Linked DNA regions of Xenopus tropicalis. The protein of the gene in region 3 purifies or fractionates together with the protein of the main gene of each other region. This does not show direct contact. Links are inferred from orthologs where the notes say so. Each region holds a gene or a part of one and is shown on either strand. Other genes may lie near its edges. The genes, in order: mycbp2, ap2a1 and mex3c.

Region 1 (3,651 bases), on a different chromosome or scaffold from region 3:
GTTTTTGTAGACACATTCTAATAACCCCGTTATTTGTTTGCATTTGTACCTCTGAGTAAAATACAAAGAAATAATGGGGTTATTAGAATGTTGGGTGGAGAAGAGGATGGTTATGCGAAGGGAACAAGGACATTCTTTGACAAGGCAATAGCTGCATGAAGATTTAATAGACATCATTCAAATTGATAGAAGTTATTGGAGACTTGTGTAACAGGATACTATCAATTTGGCTGATGTCTATTGGATCTACATGCAGATACTACCTTATCAAAGAATGCCCCAGTCTCATAACCATTCTGCTAATAAATAAATCCAACAGGACTGCTTTGGCACAAATATGGATTCGTGCAGTTAGTCACAATTAAGTGCAAGGTATTGTTTAATGATTACAGAGGAAAAAGGTAAATTTAAAAAAAATTATTTAAGAAAAATGGATTGTGTGGTTAATCAAAGAGCAAATCTGAGCACTGGGTTTATAGGAACGACAGACAAAAAGCCAGTCAGTTGAGCAGTGTGTACAAAAAACAAACATGAGAATGTGGAATAGATATGTTATAAACAAATAAAATAATGTAAATTTGACTGCAAACCTTCTCCCGAACAGCCACTTGTTTTTCTCGAAGATATTTTTCTCGACAGCGATCACAGACCAAATACCAAGTGCTTCCTCCAATTCCCCCATCCCCACAGTTTCCTGCCCATCCACCACAAAAGTGACCAATGCTGTTATAGCCTTGTCCTCCCGCATATCTTCCACAACCTACACACAATGTCACCGGGTAAGGTGAAAAACAAACACAGAAACATTTAAAATAATTCACATTTCTTTGAACAAATGCTAAACATAACTTTGTAGTGATTAGGTTACCATAGCTTTAGAACATATTTACAAACATGCATGTTACAATGCGACTAATGAAGACTGTGAGTAAATATTAAATGTAGGATTATGTAAGATATGCACTGCAACATAAAGAAATGTGGAAATATGGCTACAGAAAATATTTTGTTGCATAAATGTTACTCTAGTCTAATTTCGTTTTCAGCTTACCTGGATGTGCTTGCCGCATGTGATATGTCACCGGATAAGGGTGAGACTCTCCACACAGCTCACAGATGGTATCTTTTTCTGGTCCTCCTACAGCAAGCTGTGCCATTTCGCCAAACAAATTACCACGGGGTCTGGACTCTGCCTTTTCTTTTTTCTTTTTCTCCTTTTTTGCCTTTTTGTTATCTTTGTCACCGTCTTTCTTTTTTAGCACAGCACAAGAACCAGGGCTTGGGAAAATCATGTTCTGTGATGCAGCTTTTATGGTGGCCAATGAAATGTCTTCCCAAAAAGCCACAAGGTGTTGCAGTGTTAAGGGAAGGGGGGATTTTGTCTTAACAGAATGCTGACTGGGTAAGTCAAAAGCAGAAGTTTCATGTTTGCCATCCTCATATTTTTCATGGAGTGGTGGCTCTTTTAGCATTGATAACACTTTGTTTTTGTTGATACTGCCCATTTTTGAAATATCTGGTCCATGTGGGGCAATGTGAAACATGTTTAGTGCAGAAGAAATTTCTATTGAGTGTCTGTTTTTTAATTTAACCTCCTTTTCTTCTGAGGGTTGTTGATTGTTAAGACTGCATCTTATGGGTGCGTGTTCTTTGGAAAGATCTGGATTAAATTTAAGAAAGGAAGAGCAAGCCATTGCATCATGAACTATACCTTCATGCCAAAGAAAAGCTGCAAACACAGCCCGTGCACATTCAGCCACAGATGGGGACATTGCTTCCTTTGCTGGCTCAATAGACTTTGAGGATTCTCCCTTGAAAAAAAAGTTTGATTTTTCTTTTTTAGGCCGAACATGCCTACTCGTACTTTTGCGGCTAATTTTAGGAGATGCTCTTGTATCTTGCTCTTCTTTAAGCGGTGCCTTTCCTATGCTAAAATGGACTTTACTTGAGCCATCATCAACACTCTTTACCTCTGCATTATCCTCACATGTACTGTCTGTAATACTGTTTGTTTTTAAAGTACTGGATGAGCAAACTTCAACAACTTCACTGTGAAGGTTTTCTTGAACCACATGTGGAGAGGGTGCCCTGTTTTCACTACCGCCTGCAGGTTTGGCATCTTTTGGAATAATTTTTGGTTTAGGTGAAGTGGACCTTCCCCTTAAGGGTTCCGTTAAAGGGACTTTCTTTTTACGTAATGTATCTGGATCAAGCGTGTAAGAGTCTGACTTAGATCTTTCCCGAGGAGGCTCAAGCTTGGACTTGCTAGGACCAGATGTTTTTTGAGGTAGGCTTTTCTCTTGTGGAGATGCAGAGCGTGGAGAGCTTGCACCAGATGTATTCGGCTTTCCAGCAGGCACAGTTTTTGGCTTTGGTGAAGAGGAACGTGAGCCAGGTCCTGGTGATTCAGCTCTAAGACCAGAATTCACTTTACCATCTGTCTTTAGGATTTGCAGAGTGTTGTGGTTGGGAGATGAAGATCTGCTGTGAGAGTCTGATCTCAGCTTTGCAGCATCAGACTTCAGTAAGAGAGATTCACTTGCAGTAAGGCCTTCGTTATTTTTGGGTTTCTTCTGATCAGCATTAGAGCGGCTTATTCGTCCGTCAGGCTTTGGAGATTTGCTCTCAACTCGGTTTTTTGATGGCAAATCTGATTTGTTCACTGCAGATGTAGTTTTCGCAAAGTGCCCTTTGTCATCTGAAGAGAGATCACAAAAAAGTGAAATCATTATCTCAACTTCTCATATATCATTAATTACATTGGAATACTTTATGTGCCATTTGTATGTGGAAAAAAAAGGGGGGAACTAAAAATATTTTCTAAAACGAAGACTGAAACACAGCAAGCACAAAATGACAATATGGGGATCTAGTAAAAAAAAATTTCATCTTAATGACCGCACCAGATAAGACCTAAAGGACATTTTGCTATGAAGTGCATTAAGAATCAGTAAAAAAAAACAATTATAACATTCCATGTTTAGAAAGAATAACAAAAAACACCCATAACACGATATCCCTTTCCATTGTCAATTTTTTCAATTCAAGAACCGCTTGGAGATTCTGACTTCTGGTCAATTGTCATAGGTTAAATAAAGAGCCAAAAATGGCTCAAAAGGTTGCTGTTGCCCCTGGATGTAGAAATAAAGGCTTTTTAATCTTATTATGGAATGCTGCTTATAATCAGCTGTGTTAATCACAATAGGTCAAGGAATATATAAATACGTGTTTAAAATCCCAGAATTCCAGTGTCCCTGCGGTCACAACGGAGCAGGGCTGATGCAATTGCAATGGATTCAACAGAAGTACTACAACTGTGCTCCAATGCAGTTGCAAATTGGATGTAATGGTTTGCCTGGTATCATTTCCAGTGTTTGCTGTTCAAGTGAAGTTTATGCCCGATTCTTTAGATGCAAGCGTGCTGCACCAATTGAAGACTAAGGGAACACCTGGTTTTATGCACAACTGACTGCAGGGAAATTGCTGGGACTGTAACTGTACTTGAGGACATACATGAGCCCTCATGTCTCATGCAACATACAACTCTATTCCCTATTGGCAGCAGTGGACCAAGACAGACCCATCTTTAGGGTTCCAGTGTTACAGATGAAGTAGGGTTATAGATTATAACTATTACTAACAACAGTATTT
Region 2 (3,651 bases), on a different chromosome or scaffold from region 3:
TCACCCCGATTGTGGGCAAAAGGAGGTAGTAGGGGGTAAGAAGTGTTCGTGGAGTGGAAGCTGGTGGTGGTGAAGGAACTGGCAACTGGGATAGGGTGCCTTTGGGGTGGCAGGCCGGGTGGGCCTTGGACACCCCAGTCCAACACTGTATCCAGGTCTCTTAAGGGCAGCTACAGACTGGTAAAAGTGTTGTTTTGTGGTTTTACAGGGGTGTACAATGCAGACTGAGGTTACAGGTATCGCATAAATACACTTTATTTTTACAGAATCGCAACATTTTGGTTTCTGTGCACCATTTTATACGAGACAGGTTTTGATTGTATAGTGAGCCGTGAATGACGTTGTTCATCTTTCTGTGCAACAATAATAACTACTGAATTATACTCTAGCCAATCTATCATATCCTATTTAAACGTGTGCCCTGTAAGCCAACTCAGCTAAGCTTTCCAATCTTTCACATTCACTGTGCCAGAGCCATCTACAAGCAGCGATGTAGTAAATGTTAATGAGCATTTTGGATATAGGGTAATTGAGTCTACTTTGTCTTGCACTACTGATAACAAACAAATATTTAGTCATCATAATCCCTGTCATTAAGCAAGACAAGAGTCTTTCTGTTTGCCAGACAGGAAACAGAAATAATGGGAGGAGTAGCAGGAAACAAATTCCTCCTTGCAAGCATAAAAAGTGACAATAGCTCTTTCGCCACTAAAGCGGCTTTCCAAAGCTGCAGTATTTTACGCATTGCTCAGGGGCAAAAACTTTAACTTGTGGGTCTGCATTTAGGGAAGAAACTCTTAACTCTCCCTTTGCCGAAACAGTACGAGGTAGCACAACAACACTGAAACTGTTCCATACACACCAGCTTGCACTGCAAATAACAATGAGGGAAATGGTCTAGGGTTCAGGATAAGTGAATGCAACATTCAACAGGTGCTTTTCTAAGCACTTTTGTCATTTACATTCATTAATTGTTTTTAAGATTTTGAAGATATTAATGGAAATAAGTATTATGAATATAAACTAATTTTGTTGCAACAGACCCAGCCGCTGGTAAGTTTCCGACTGACTAGTCAAGAATCTAGTCGGAAGAAAGAAATAGGGAGGTTTCTCTGTTTAGGAAAGATGTGAGAAAAGTATCTGAGGTTTCTAATGCTTTTCCTAACCAGAAGAACATCAGCTTAGCCCTCTTTCTTTCCCCTGACAACTTCCTCAACTGGATCTGAGCAGCAGGTGGTGCTGTTATAACAAAATTCATAGAACATATTTCCCTTAATATCTTGGAATCTTAAAAAAAAAGTAAAGTGAAGTTCAAAGTGTTTCAAGGCACCCAAAATGCCATTAATCAGTAGACATTATGTTAGACATCATCTAATTCCTCTACGTGCACATAGTACAGAAGGCCTGTATAGAGAAGCTTTCTGTGTATCAGTATATAACCTACCTGTCATAGTGAATAATTAGGCTAATGGCCTCAAACAGTATCGCATTTTTTGCATTGGAATGTTGCACTTTCTTTGATTTGGGAGGCTCCTGTGCTTTGTTTAGGATAGTTTCAAGACACTCCACCAGGCGCCCCTTCACAGCAGCATCCTCTGAAACAACAGGCACACAGACAAGTCAGAGAGAGGGAGCGCCCTATGGCTATTATGGGGGATGCAGGAAGACTGCACGGAGAGTTACCTGGAGGTGGGTAGCACTGGAGAAGGCGCAGCAGTTTTACAGAGAGCCAGGGAGCCGGCACAAAGTAATATGTATAGTCCTGCAGGTCTGTGGAGGCTGATGAGACAATCTGTAGAGGTGAGAAATAGATAACATATAGGCACTTATAGAATGAAACATTGCCACCGCCAGTAAGAATTAACTGTAGAAGGAAACTTTACCCGGCTTAGACGTGATACCGCCAGTGAGACGCAGGTCTTGAAGTCATCTGGGTTTTTGCGACAGAGGCAGGTGATCAGACTGACAGCGGCTGTCACCACTCCCTGGAACAAAGAGCAATGCGTCCGTTAGTGAATGATGGATGGAGCACAACAGAGATCCATCACAATCCCATCACAACACTGCACACTTAACTTACGGCAGCTCAGGTATAAAAATATTATATAAATTCATTTTTAAAGGCTTTATAAATATACACACACAATACAAACACCATATATTATTATAGTTTCTGTATTAGCCCTAATATGTTCAGTAGCGAGTCGCTCACCCCTTGTAACTTGATATGTTATTTAATTATAGGGATAATGGGCATAATAGCAGTTCTGGGCATCCGGCCAAACTCAAGGTACACAGCAATGTATTGTAACACACCAGTGACCCGCAGCCGCAGTGTTGCTCATCTGAACAATGAACCTAAGAGCACTCATGGAGCAGTGCTGTAAAGCTATGTATGTGTTTCTCATCTGAACTGCAAGGTAATCTGCTATGTGGGCAACACACATCACTGTAAGTTCTCCATTTTAGTACCTTATAGGCTGCCCTAAGATGCAAAGACAATTGGGAGTTTGTACAGAGATAGAAAGAATAAAACCATAACAGCTAAAAGTAGCAGCTACTCGTATGCCCAAGCAATATGAACCTTTGTCGCCCATAGAATCTGAGGCTTCAATTCTCTAGACTGGTATTACACCTGACAATTATCTATGGGAGACACATACCATGTGTTGATCATTTAGAAGGTGAACGACTCGCGATGTCCATTCCCCCATAGGTACAAGGTCTGGGGAAGTTTTGTATAACCTCAGTAAGCAAAGGGCCGCACTCTGCTTTACACTGTCCATGGTGTCCCTGCCAAAGAAGCAAATCATGTATTTTAAAATAAATAAATCAACGTTCCTGCAAAGCCTGAGAAGTTAAATGAATTGCCTAGAGATGCGCTGAATACAGATTCTTATTAGTAAGATTCAATTCTGCTGGCCTGGCACTGAGCCTTTTTTCTTATAGGAACTGAATTATTGACAAACACAGAAGCGCTGTAATTGCTTAACCGATCCTGCTTAGCTATAATATGCAGCAAGGTGCAGGATACTTATGTAGGTTACTAATTGTCTTTCCTTATATAATGTCACTAAACGAGGTGCCCAATAATGAGAGTTTCGCTTCTTACATTTCTTCTAGTCCCAACAGGTCAGTACAGATGGGCAGTATTGCTTCCCCCCCAAGACTTGGAGGTAGGGCCTATAACATAGCCAATCAAAACGAATCCTGGCCTACAAGACCACCTGACTTCCTCTTCACCACTCTTATACATTACAGGAAACAAATAAATTGGGATGGGAAACCCTGTAGTGACATGTTGGAACCAGAAGAAATGGAATTTACGGCAAGAAGGTAAGAGAAATTCTCATTTTCATCTGTGTCCCTCCCGTGTCAGTACAGACTGGATCTATCAAGCCACAACCCCAAAACAATGAAATAATATTGAATAAAACCAACAGATGCTAAAAGGCCAAACATAACATTCACTAAATGGGGAAGCTGATATAACACAAAATCCCTGAAAACGAGAGGCATAAAACGCTTAAGTGCATAAGTACAAGAATGGCCCGGGGCATGATAAGCAATTGACCTCAAAAACTACAAAACCCAATCTACCAAATACAGCATAAGATGAGAATAAAGCATCACAGAGTAAAAATGTCCATT
Region 3 (4,241 bases):
AGCTGGCCCCTATCAACCCAAATACCACAGTGCTGAGGCTAAGGGCAGGGTTAAAGTGTCTGCTCCTATGCCCCAAATCCTTACATCCATAGCAGGGTGCTTGGGCTGTGGTGGGCATTTCCCTGCCAGTTCAGCAAATGCTATATGCGCCATTAGCTCAGCAACATGGTAACTGCACTATGGGGGGCTATTAATGGGGTGACCGTTTCACTGTGAAGTTGGCCAGATACTGCCCAATCCCCCACAATACGTAAACACATGACCCGCAGGATGAAAGGATGGGTACTGTACCAGCGGCCATACAGGTGTATTGTTCTGTGTATTTGAGCCAGATCATCAGAACTTTAGGAAGAGAAGAGGAGCTGCAGCAGCTCATGGCCGGTATAGTGAATGGACAGAGAATCATAGCCAATCAAAGCCCATCTTACACTGGAATACATACCCAGACAGTCTGCACGGTCAAAATCCTAGAAAGCTAGTGGTTCTATGTTCCCCTTCATTAACAACACTAAGCCCCACCCCCAGATATACACTCAGGGACCATTATCAAAGTAACTACTGGTAAACAGCTCTAAGCCCCGCCCACCAGGCACAGCCATGAGGGTAAGTGCCCACTCACAAGCGCTATTTATGCTTTAGGCTCTTTTTCACTGAACAGCAACTCCCTATAACCATCAGGCATACGAGCCGTGTATTATGCATGTAACCTCCCCAGGGGCACCCATTATTAGCAACTGGCACCCACTCAGTAGGGGGACAGTTTCCTGTGACACCCACCCATTATTAGCAACCGGCACCCACTCAGTAGGGGGACAGTTTCCTGTGACACCCACCCATTATTAGCAACCGGCACCCACTCAGTAGGGGGACAGTCTCCTGTAACACCCACCCATTATTAGCAACCAGCACCCACTCAGTAGGGGGACAGTCTCCTGTAACACCCACCCATTATTAGCAACTGGCACCCACTCAGCAGGGGGACCGTCTCCCATAACACCGACCCATTATTAGCAACTGGCACCCACTCAGTAGGGGGAAAGTCTCCTGTGACACCGACCCACTGTTAGAGACTCGCACCCACTCCTTAGCCACAGGTGTCCACTCACCTGGGGGTCTGTAAATATGTGGCCCCCACAACTGGGAACTAGGCATGTGACTCCCGGGGGGGCCTGCCCATCATTAACCATAGGTGCCCACTCACTTGGGGGTCTGTATGTGGCCCCTACAGCTGGGAATTAGCCAGGTGACTCCCAGGGGGGCCTGCCCATCATTAGCCACTGATGCCCTTGGCCAGGGGGACCCCCCCCATCACTAGCCAATGTGGAACTGTGGGTAACCCATAAACACCCACCGACCAGGGAGTCAAACATGTACTTGTATCCCCTGTAGAAGAGTGAGCTCTTGGGCCCAGGGTTTGCTTTCCCAGTCTCCTGACCCCCCCCCCCCCCCATGGGCCAGCAGCCTGTGAGCAGCCATTGTAGCCCCATTACCCCCCCATGGGCCAGCAGCCACTGTAGCCCCATTACCCCCCCCCCCCCCATGGGCCAGCAGCCTGTGAGCAGCCACTGTAGCCTCATTACCCCCCCCCATGGGCCAGCAGCCTGTGAGCAGCCACTGTAGCCCCATTACCCCCCCCATGGGCCAGCAGCCTGTGAGCAGCCATTGTAGCCCCATTGCCCCCCCATGGGCCAGCAGCCTGTGAGCAGCCACTGTAGCCCCATTGCCCCCCCCCATGGGCCAGCAGCCTGTGAGCAGCCACTGTAGCCCCATTGCCCCCCCCATGGGCCAGCAGCCACTGTAGCCCCATTACCCCCCCATGGGCCAGCAGCCACTGTAGCCCCATTGCCCCCCCCCCCATGGGCCAGCAGCCATTGTAGCCCCATTACCCCCCCCATGGGCCAGCAGCCACTGTAGCCCCATTACCCCCCCCATGGGCCAGCAGCCACTGTAGCCCCATTACCCCCCCATGGGCCAGCAGCCTGTGAGCAGCCACTGTAGCCCCATTGCCCCCCCCCCCCCCATGGGCCAGCAGCCTGTGAGCAGCCACTGTAGCCCCATTGCCCCCCCCCCCATGGGCCAGCAGCCATTGTAGCCCCATAACCCCCCCCCATGGGCCAGCAGCCACTGTAGCCCCATTACCCCCCCATGGGCCAGCAGCCACTGTAGCCCCATTACCCCCCCATGGGCCAGCAGCCTGTGAGCAGCCACTGTAGCCCTATTACCCCCCCCCCCATGGGCGAGCAGCCACTGTAGCCCCATTGCCCCCCCCATGGGCCAGCAGCCATTGTAGCCCCATAACCCCCCCCATGGGCCAGCAGCCACTGTAGCCCCATTACCCCCCCCATGGGCCAGCAGCCACTGTAGCCCCATTACCCCCCCATGGGCCAGCAGCCTGTGAGCAGCCACTGTAGCCCTATTACCCCCCCCCCATGGGCGAGCAGCCACTGTAGCCCCATTACCCCCCCCCCCCCATGGGCGAGCAGCCACTGTAGCCCCATTGCCCCCGGATACTCACCCTGCCGGCCCACAATCTCGGCCACATGCTCAGAGCTGGGCACAGGCACCAGTTCATTGGTATTGACGCTCTTCCTGCGGCCCGCCTGCTCCGCACTGCCCGGGGGGAAGCCTGCCTGACACCCCGCACCGCCCATCAGCAGGGCCGCCGCGTCCTCCGCAACTTCCTCCCCGGGCCTCTCCTCCTCCTCCTCCTCCAGGCTCAGCGCGGCCAGCCTCAGCCTCATCTCCTCAGGCTCCAGCAGCAGCAGCTCGGCCCCGGCTCTCCAGGAGGCTCCTCCCGGCATGGTGCCCTCCTGCTCTCGGCACAAAGAGCTCAGGCGGTCAGTGGCGCCTCTTCCCCCGGACACTCATCCTGCCGCAGCCCCGCTGCTCGGAAATCGTACCCTGCCGCACCGGCCCCGCTAATTTCCGCAGCACAGGGGCCCGGCCGCTCGCCTTTTTTTCTCCCCTTATTACTCTCTTTGTTTCCCCTGACTCGTTCGGACACACCCCTATTTCCCGGCCCAGAGCCTGAGGAAGAAGCTGATTGGTTGGCGCGATGAGCGAATGGATAATACTGTCCTCTGATTGGTTGGCGCGATGAGCGAATGAATAATACTGTTCCCTGATTGGTTGGCGCGGCAGAGGGTTTCGCTAGCAGATGGCTATAAGGAAAGGAGGCGCACCCTTAGCCTGGAAAGGGAAGAGGAAGTCTGGGATTGAGTGGGCGGGGTTATTGCGTCACCGTGCTAAAACTAAAACCGAGAGGATATGGGCGGGAAAAGTGATATCATGTTTGTTCTGGGAAGTGTGAAAGGATATCGATTGTCTCGATTAATAATCATATTACTAATAAAATATAATCTGCCGAATGTGTAACAGGAAGTTGCAGCCACCCCCCCCCCATGATATGGAGGAGTGACGTTATTCAGAAAATACATTGGAACTGCAAATCCCTTAGTGTCCCATTAGGGTCGCAATCTGGCCAGTGAGAATGATGCTTATTGTTATTAATAGGGAGAATTGCTAAAAATATAGGAATGCTGGTGTTATTTCCAGAAAAGTTCCATGTATAATACTGCATATCCCGCCGTAGGTGGGGATACCGGGAGAAGATCTGCTCGCCAAGCGAGCGAATCTTAGCATGTATGGCCACGTTTAACCTGGACATACATTGAAAGATCTGCTCATTTAGAGATGTGGCCAAATGAGTTCTTTCCCTGATAGGCCCACCTTGAGTTGAGCAATACCAGACTGATGTGAATGTTTGGCCTTTGGGCCAAAATGTCTGATCACAATGACAGGGATACAGGCCGTCGGAGTGAGGACTGCATCAACGACTAATGTGGTCATTACTCCGACATTTATTAATCCTGCCCGATTGATATCTGGTCGATTTTCGGTCAGGTAGGCCCATACACAGGCAGATAAGCTGCCTTCTCAGACTGAAGGAGCCAAATTGGCAACTAAAATCTAGCCACCTAATGTGTATGTTTTGGATTGGACAATCCCTATAGTTGCAGTACATTGTTTTCTCTTTCTAATGCCTCCAGGCCTGTATTTCTAAATTGTGCACCCCTAGGCCAGATGGTCTCCGCTCGCCCCCAACCCATGAATTTCCACACAAGCACATACACAAATCTTCAATTGTGGGTCCGGAGCTCTGGGGATTTTGCACGGAAGATTAAAAGAGGTACCTTCTTCCTACTGTGTCTCATACCACATGGCCCTTATTCCCTGTGTAT

Evidence for each region.
Region 1: the proteins of mex3c (region 3) and mycbp2 purify together in Homo sapiens (affinity purification with mass spectrometry; 3 studies listed by BioGRID and IntAct, with this or other methods). This does not show direct contact. The link is inferred for Xenopus tropicalis from reciprocal best matches to the Homo sapiens genes MEX3C and MYCBP2.
Region 2: the proteins of mex3c (region 3) and ap2a1 purify together in Homo sapiens (affinity purification with mass spectrometry; 3 studies listed by BioGRID, with this or other methods). This does not show direct contact. The link is inferred for Xenopus tropicalis from reciprocal best matches to the Homo sapiens genes MEX3C and AP2A1.

Annotation. Positions count from the first base shown.
Region 1 is NC_030678.2:126,183,608-126,187,258, reverse strand, and holds part of mycbp2 (E3 ubiquitin-protein ligase MYCBP2), read right to left. Parts: intron 2,699-3,651; coding exon 1,052-2,698; intron 761-1,051; coding exon 591-760; intron 1-590. UniProt on the Homo sapiens protein: Atypical E3 ubiquitin-protein ligase which specifically mediates ubiquitination of threonine and serine residues on target proteins, instead of ubiquitinating lysine residues.
Region 2 is NC_030683.2:117,153,602-117,157,252, reverse strand, and holds part of ap2a1 (AP-2 complex subunit alpha-1), read right to left. Parts: intron 2,794-3,651; coding exon 2,664-2,793; intron 1,986-2,663; coding exon 1,884-1,985; intron 1,793-1,883; coding exon 1,684-1,792; intron 1,596-1,683; coding exon 1,445-1,595; intron 1-1,444.
Region 3 is NC_030677.2:204,603,820-204,608,060, reverse strand, and holds the start of mex3c (RNA-binding E3 ubiquitin-protein ligase MEX3C), read right to left. Parts: upstream 2,828-4,241; 5' UTR 2,802-2,827; coding exon 2,516-2,801; intron 1-2,515. UniProt on the Homo sapiens protein: E3 ubiquitin ligase responsible for the post-transcriptional regulation of common HLA-A allotypes. Binds to the 3' UTR of HLA-A2 mRNA, and regulates its levels by promoting mRNA decay.